2 linked regions of the Coturnix japonica genome follow. The protein of the gene in region 1 purifies or fractionates together with the protein of each later gene. This does not show direct contact. Links are inferred from orthologs where the notes say so. Each region holds a gene or a part of one and is shown in the gene's direction. Other genes may lie near its edges.

Region 1 (4,007 bases):
CAACTCAGCTGCGGTAAATAACATTATAACTGCTTTAACAAGAACAGATAAAAGGATTGCTTGAATTCTGTGCAAGTGTGGCATTTTAGTACCTTCTCTTCAGGACCTTTGAGTATGATTTCTTAGAACTGTTAGCTCATTCTAGTTTAATGTTCTTTAATGGAACTCCGCACTTACTGGCATGCTGTGGGAAACTAGAGAGACTTGGTAACAGTCAGCACGTTTTCTTGCAATGAGACACCAAGTAATTGTGCTGGACATCTAAATAACTCAAGTCTTTGATGCTACAGAAGAGCCTAATTAAGGAATCCTTACAGTCTGATAGGCTGGCTCTTGCTGTTGTAGTTTACCTTTTTCAGGAAGCACCTTACTTCCTATAAGCTATAGGCTGTCCAAGCAAGTTCAGTTTCCTCTTACAAGTGTATTTCTCTGTTACTCCCAAAGGGCTTTGTGACTATGGTGTTACAGTGCTCTATAGAGATGCGTTCCATGAGCTACGCCTGGAGAGGGCTGAAGGAGCAGCTTGGCGAGGAAATAGACAGCAAGATATCTGCCATGCGTTTCCTCAAGGGGAAGATGGTAAGACAGCCCGTCCTTTGGGAAGGAGGGGTGGCGGTGTTGGTTTGTGTGTGTGTGTGTGTTCAGTTTTGTGTCCTGGGATATATTTGTGGAAAGAAAATACCACTTTATTTATTTATTTATTTACCTGTTGTTACAGGGGGTGTGCTTCGATATCCCCATGGATGAGCTGAATAACATACAGGTACATTACAGTTGGAACAGTTGTGTTATGTGAAGTGGGATATATGGTCTTACCTGGGATTTTGTTCAGGGTGGGTTAGAGGATGGGGTGTGTGACGTAACAGGGATGCTGCACTGAGAGATGGGCAGAAGCATTGGGTTATTTCCTCTTTTTCCATGGCTGTGCTGTGCTGTGTTGGTGCTGTGCCACTCGCAGTGCTGACGTGTGGTGTCTGTGTCTCAGGAGCAGTGGCGGGACACGCGGCGCTGGCAGCTGGCGGTGGCCAAGGAGCTGCCGGAGCTGGAGGAGCAGCCGCAGGACTCGAGCCGCAGGCCGCAGCCGCGCTTTGGCGGCTTCAAGAAGAACGGGAGGTTCGGCGGCTGGCAGCAGGGCCGGCCGGCAGGGGCAGCCGTCGAGTGAGCGCGGACTGTCCGTGTTTTTACCACATTAAACAGCCGTTGGACGCTCGGCCGCTGTCTGATGTTGCACAAAGTCTCGCGGGTCGCCGTGACGGCGGGAGGGGGGCGGGGCTCGCGTGACGCGGGGCGGGTGAACGGCGGCGGCGGCGGCGACAAGATGGCGGCGGCGGGCGGCTGGTGGGCCGCGGCGTGCGAGAAGTTTCGCAACGCCAAGACGCTGTCGGACGTGGAGTCCCGTAAGGACCCGGAGACGGAGCCCTACCGCTCCAAGTACAGCGCCCGAGCGCTGCTGCAGGAGGTGAAGCAGCAGCTGAGCGCCGCCGAGGATTGCAGCGAGCCGCGGCTGCTGGCCGTGAGGCGGGCCGTGCTGGAGTTCGAGCTGGGCGTCAACCACACCGACACCGAGGAGCTGTCGGCGGGAGAGGAACATCTGCAGCGCTGCACGCAGCTGCTCGAGCCGCACCGACTGAACCGGGACTGCGTGTCACTCTACATCCAGGCACAGGTGGGCGGGGGGGGGCGGGGTGTCGACTACGGGCTGAGGAACGGCCCGGGGCTGGGGGAGGTGAGGCCTGAGAGGCTGCACAGCCGTAGGGGGCTGGTTTGAGACCTTATTGCACAGCCTTGGCTTTTACTTGCTACCCAAGTGGAGTTGGGGAATGTTTTTGTTTTTAATCTTACACGTAAGAGGAAAATTCTGAAGAACATGATCACATCCTCTGGATGTTTATGTGGGAACCCGTCCCTTACATGCACACACACACACACACACACACACTTTCACTTATGTAGAGCAGTTGTCCCTTTTAGAAATGGCTGCTGTGATTTAGGAAGGGCTCTGGAGTACTTCACAGCCACACAGTGTAAAGCTGCAAAGGGACTGTGTGCTTCTGTGAAGCGTGGATCAGATGGTGGCTTCTTCTGCTCTACCTGAGAAGGAGAGGCTGTAGTGAGGTGGAGGTCACCCTCAGAGCAGGTAACAGCGATAAGATGAGGGGTGATTGCCTCAGTTGGCACCAGGGGTGATTTGTGTTGAGTATTAGGGAAAAACTCCAAAAGAGCAGTGATACAGTGGTACAGGCTGCTGGGGAGGTGCGGGGAGTCACCATGCCTGGAGGTGTTGCAGAGCTGTGGGGGTGTAGCACTGAGGGGGTGGGCTGGGTGAGCTGAGAGTTTTTCCAACCCTAATGACCCAAATGGCTGCCCATTTGTGGTACGGGGCACCCACAGCTTTGGGCAGCATTCCCAGCACCCCACTGCCACTCCAAGGAAATAATTTCTTCCCAGCAATTTTACTGATGTGCTGGAAGTAACACTTGAGAATCTAAATAAAAACCAAACAAACAAAAAACCCAAAACACAACACTGAACGTCAAGATTGTGGCAGCCAGTAGTGGCTGTACTTTTACATGAGTACTCTCCAGTGCTGTAAAGTACACTGTCACCTCACTGATGCCTGTTTGGCAAGGAGGAGCATTCCTTTTCCTACCAGGCCTGTTTCTATAGCCCTCCTCCTCCTCCTTTCTGCCTTTCTGCATAAGGATACATGTGATGATTTCTGGCTAATTAAATTTGGTCAATTCTGTTGCACAGCTGTGGGCAAAGTGTTTTTGTTCATAGCTGTCATGATACGTGTGGCTTTCTCTTAAAATATAATAAAATAGAAGGAATCGAAAGGTCTACAAGGCTGGCATTCAGCTACATGTAAGAGCTTTCTGAAGGTTTTTTGTTTCCAGTCCTGTTAGATTTTGTAACAGCACGTGCTAGGAATTAAATTAGCCCACTAAACATGGGTTTGCAATTAGCACCTTCAACTTAATAATAACATTAGGGTTGTTTTTTGTAAAGAGTAGATGCAGTGAGACGTTACCATGCACTTTGCTGTGATATTCACTACTGTCTTTAAGTTTGTGGCTTTTGCACCACAGCACTTTTTAATTTCCTCGTCAAAATGTGCAGGTATTCATTCCTTCCACACTTTTTCCCTATTAGGTTTTTCCACAAAGACTCAGTGACAGATTTATTTGTCCTTGACTCTCCTTATATCTGTATGATTTCAAGGTTGCTTGAATCAGGTGCAGAATAGACTGTGTACAGAAACCTTTCTATATGAACACACCAGGGACAATTTAGCAGGGTAAACACAGAAAATTGCCATTTGTGAGGTGACTTTGTATGCTTGTCTCTGTGAGAACCCTCCTCTTTGAGCAGCTTGTGATAAAGTAGGTGAGAACAATTTTTGCCTTTTGGAATCAGTTATATTAGGCAGATACGTAGGGTTGAAGACCAATAAATTCTATGGAGAAAATGTTTAGTGTAAGTGGAATTGATTGGAAAATAATTGCTTTTTTTTTCCCTTTTAACTTCAGAACAATCTAGGTATCCTATGGTCCGAAAGGGATGAAATTAAAACTGGCCAGACTTACTTGGAATCTGCAGAAGCCTTGTATAATCAGTACATGAAAGAGGTACGGTGCTTATTAATCTGGCAGCAGCTCTTACATTCATACACCACTTACAGTTTTGATAATTGTGGAAGAAAACGTACAAAACAACTTGAGTTTGTGAGCTTTGTGATGTCGCTTCTGAAAAGCCGCGTGGTTTGTTTACTGGCATAGAAGGCGTAGGAGGATCACTTGATAATTCCAACATGGATCTGAGAAAATAGTTTGTGTCAGAAAACAGTGATCCTTATTACAAGGTCTTTGAATTGATACTCCAGTGCTGAATCTGGCTTCTGATTAAGATCATCCCACTTTTATTATGGGAATGCTTTAGAAGGTCAGGCAATTGCTTTTGGTTCGAGAAGGAAAACAAACTGTAACATCTGCGTGGTTTTCTCTGAC
Region 2 (3,500 bases), on another chromosome or scaffold:
AAGCCCTAGCTACTAAGCAGGTATTTATAAAACGAAACAGAAGGGTTTCTAAGTGGCATAATTGTCTTTTAAATAAAACACTGTACTGTATTGTGAGAGAAATGATTTTTCTCAAGTATTTTCTCCTATGTGATACTATGCAAACAAATGCATTTTGTTTACTATCTGAATGTGCTATAGCATGCTGTTCGCAGATAAACTACTGCTGACATCATTATTCCTCTTGTAAGCCAGGCTATTTCGCTTACATACCAACAGCCACCATTGCTAGTGCCAAAAGTCCCAGCTCTTAAGAGTGAACGTAGTAATGGCTAATGGTCTTTTTTTTTTTTTACACTGGTATTCATGTATCTGACTTTAGAACAACTATTTCGTTGCTTTCTTTTTTTAATTCTGCTTATCTTTCATTTCTGTATTTCTTTTAAATATTTCAGTATCTAACCAAAACAAGAAAGCTGTCAAAGATGGAAGATGAAGGGTTTCATACTGATGGCAGATGTGGAAGATGCATTTCTTTCTGTAGTATAAATCCTTAAAATGTCAAAGGGAAGACTAAGTATAAACATAATTAAGCACTGTTGAGTTTTATGCTTTGTTTCTTTTTTTTTTTCCTCTGTCTTGCTCAGGCTCTGGAAGATCATACTATTCGTCATGCAAAAATACTTCAAGCTCTAGAAGATGAGAAACAGAAGATTGCTGAAGAAATTGAAAGCCTTCAGAAGAATCGTGGAAGTGGGAATAAAGCTATGAATAGTAAGTCTGTACTTAATGTTGCAGGAGCAGTGATTTCTCTTCTGCACAGCAGACTTGGATTTAATGTGTGTGGATCCAGAAGTTTTCTTCCTCTAATGCCTTTCTCACAAACATGAAAAAGAACAGTCTTAGGGCTGCTACAATCCTTTACTTTTATGGAAGTATGTATACCAGACCGTGCTAAAATCTCTGCTTTATCTCATTCAGGGTGGTTTGGTGGGTTCCCAGATAGTCAATATTTACCCCAGTTACTTTAAATTTCTTTCTCAGTCTGGCTGAACTAGTTAGGAGTTAATCCACTGGAGACACTGGAGTAACAGTTGCTTCTGTTTAGACTCCTATATCAGATTAGCTTAATTGATAGTATCTAAAGTTATGTTGTTACTTTTTATATACCCTTCCCTTTTTGTTTTTTTTTTTCTGAGTTATCTATCTAGGAAGCTATTTTTGCTTTCTCCTCCACTGTACTGAGAAAACGCAGTCCAGCTAAATAGTTAAATTCCATTCAAGATGCTGTGTGTAGTTTTCTTTTGCATTTTCAACCTTTAAGCTGTTGCATTACATAACTTGATCATTATGTATTTTACTCTTTATTAGCTGCTCTTAACTGGAATTCTTTGAAATTATCTGTGATGATCAAAGAGGCCAACACCATTAGTAATGAATTAAGGAAAAACACTGTTTTTAACAGGTAAGTGTCTGAGTGAGCTGACTTTAAGTGTATGTGGTGGGGATTCTAGAAGTACAATCAGCTATTTGTTTTTCTTTGAACAGATTTCTATTTAATTGAACGACAGATTATTTTTCCCATCTAGCTCTAGAGGAATGTGGAACTTAGTTGTGTTACTTTGAAATAAAGTTACGTTTACGTTAGGCGATTCATTTTGAATCCAGCATGCTTTGGGGGTGAATCAAATCTCATGATGCTTATGTCCATTGTGGTTTGGCTCATGTATCAGAGAGGTCCTAAAGCATATTAAATACATTACTTATTAGTGTGAAACTTCTGATCTTGAAGGTGTTTTTCAGTGGAAATGGCTCTAACTTTGAACAAAACTAAACCAGGATATATGTGCCCAGCCCCCATGATGTAGCCTTATAAACTTAATGCAATAGAGATAGTTCAAAGTGAAAACCTCAGAACATGCATGCACTGGATATTGAGGACTTGAGACCAGTTGTTCCTGTGTGATGGTTAATTGTCCTTGGCAGGAGCACAGATTCACTGCAGAGATTCTCCTGCTCTGTGTGTAAGTGGCTACAATAGTAGGGGTGATGAGTGGATGTGTTTTACTGTGGTTTTCAGATGTTTCTGGCAATAGAAGTCTGTAACACGTATTTGGTTCTGAGTTTCTTGAGAGCTAGGCATTATGGACTGCAAAGGTTTTGGTTTATTTCTCTTTTAAATATAAATTAATTTGAAACCGAAACTAATCTTTGTATTTTGTGGAAAACATGATGTTTTTGACAATTACTGGGCTTGTACTAAAAAGTTTGATCTCTGTATGATCTACCTACAAGTACTTTGTGTTTACTATAGCTTTTTATTTTTAATTTTCTCAAATTCTTAGGCATGAGAAAATCGATGATAGAACAGGATCGGTTTCTTCTGTTCAAGTGCAGGTTCGTAACCTGAAACTGGGTATAGCAACTTTCTGGAGCCTGGAGAAATTTGAAAGCAAACTAGCAGCGATGAAAGAACTCTATGAGGTTAGTAAGAACTTAAGGAAAAGAACTAACTGATGAGTAGTAACATTTTGTTGAAGATATTTCAATCATCAACATAATTGTATAAGGAGAATCTTGTTGGGTTGTTTTTTTTTGGTATGTGATCTTACAAACAAACAAAAAAACAACCACCCACACAAAAAATCCTCATCATACATATGTGTATATATGAGTATATTAGATATGTAAAATTTGTTGTATATATGGAGGTTTTTTCTGTATGTATATCAGGTATTAAAATCTTTCCTTGCCTTGTTTAAAAGGGAAAAAATATAACAAAGTAAATCCAGGAAAAAAAGTAAGAGAAAACCTTCCTTTACAATGCAATTCTGTGAAATGCAACAATTTCCAGTGGTAGAAGTGTATCGTGTTTATTACTAAAACCTGCTTGGATCTTGAAAACAGCAGAGAAGAGAATTCTATGTCATGCGCAAAAATATGGCTAAAACCATTACAAATGTATTTATTTTTGTATCTGCTTTTGTGTGAATTACATGCACAGAATTTTAACAGATGTCATAAGGAAAGAGTTGTGAACAGGCTTTTTACTTGGTATTCTTGTATCCTTTATCTCAAGATGCTGAATAGCAGTGTCTGTACCAAATGTCTCATGTTTCATTTTGCACTCTAAAAACTTGCATGTCAACCTTGCTGCCAGTTAGTTATTTTCTAAATTGTACATTTCCTAACAAAAAGAAAAACATGAAGGGGGGATTGGACTCAGTGGTCATGGAGGTTCCTTCCAGCCCTTACGATTCTGTGGTTCTGTGGTTAGATCTGCTGTTGTACAGCCGAATGTGATGTCTTCATCTGTATAGTATGCTTTATTATCTCCCTGTTTTTACTTAACCTTCCTTCTCTTCTGTTTCCTTTATTTCCCAGAGTAATGATAGCAATAAAGCTGCTGATGTATTTTATGACCCTGCTGATGAATGGGAACCTGACCTTTCAGATGCCTCAGTTTCTTCACTTTCCAGGAGGTGATCATTTGCAATTCCTTCACCCCTGCTTGAAACAAA

The links.
Region 2: the proteins of KIFBP (region 1) and KIF14 purify together in Homo sapiens (affinity purification with mass spectrometry; 3 studies listed by BioGRID and IntAct, counting the BioPlex papers as one, with this or other methods). This does not show direct contact. The link is inferred for Coturnix japonica from reciprocal best matches to the Homo sapiens genes KIFBP and KIF14.

What each region holds. Positions count from the first base shown.
Region 1 is NC_029521.1:8,806,042-8,810,048, forward strand, and holds the start of KIFBP (KIF-binding protein), read left to right. Parts: upstream 1-1,207; 5' UTR 1,208-1,222; coding exon 1,223-1,666; intron 1,667-3,530; coding exon 3,531-3,629; intron 3,630-4,007. UniProt on the Homo sapiens protein: Activator of KIF1B plus-end-directed microtubule motor activity. Required for organization of axonal microtubules, and axonal outgrowth and maintenance during peripheral and central nervous system development.
Region 2 is NC_029523.1:1,368,090-1,371,589, forward strand, and holds part of KIF14 (kinesin-like protein KIF14), read left to right. Parts: coding exon 1-20; intron 21-626; coding exon 627-753; intron 754-1,350; coding exon 1,351-1,444; intron 1,445-2,324; coding exon 2,325-2,463; intron 2,464-3,363; coding exon 3,364-3,461; intron 3,462-3,500. UniProt on the Homo sapiens protein: Microtubule motor protein that binds to microtubules with high affinity through each tubulin heterodimer and has an ATPase activity. Plays a role in many processes like cell division, cytokinesis and also in cell proliferation and apoptosis.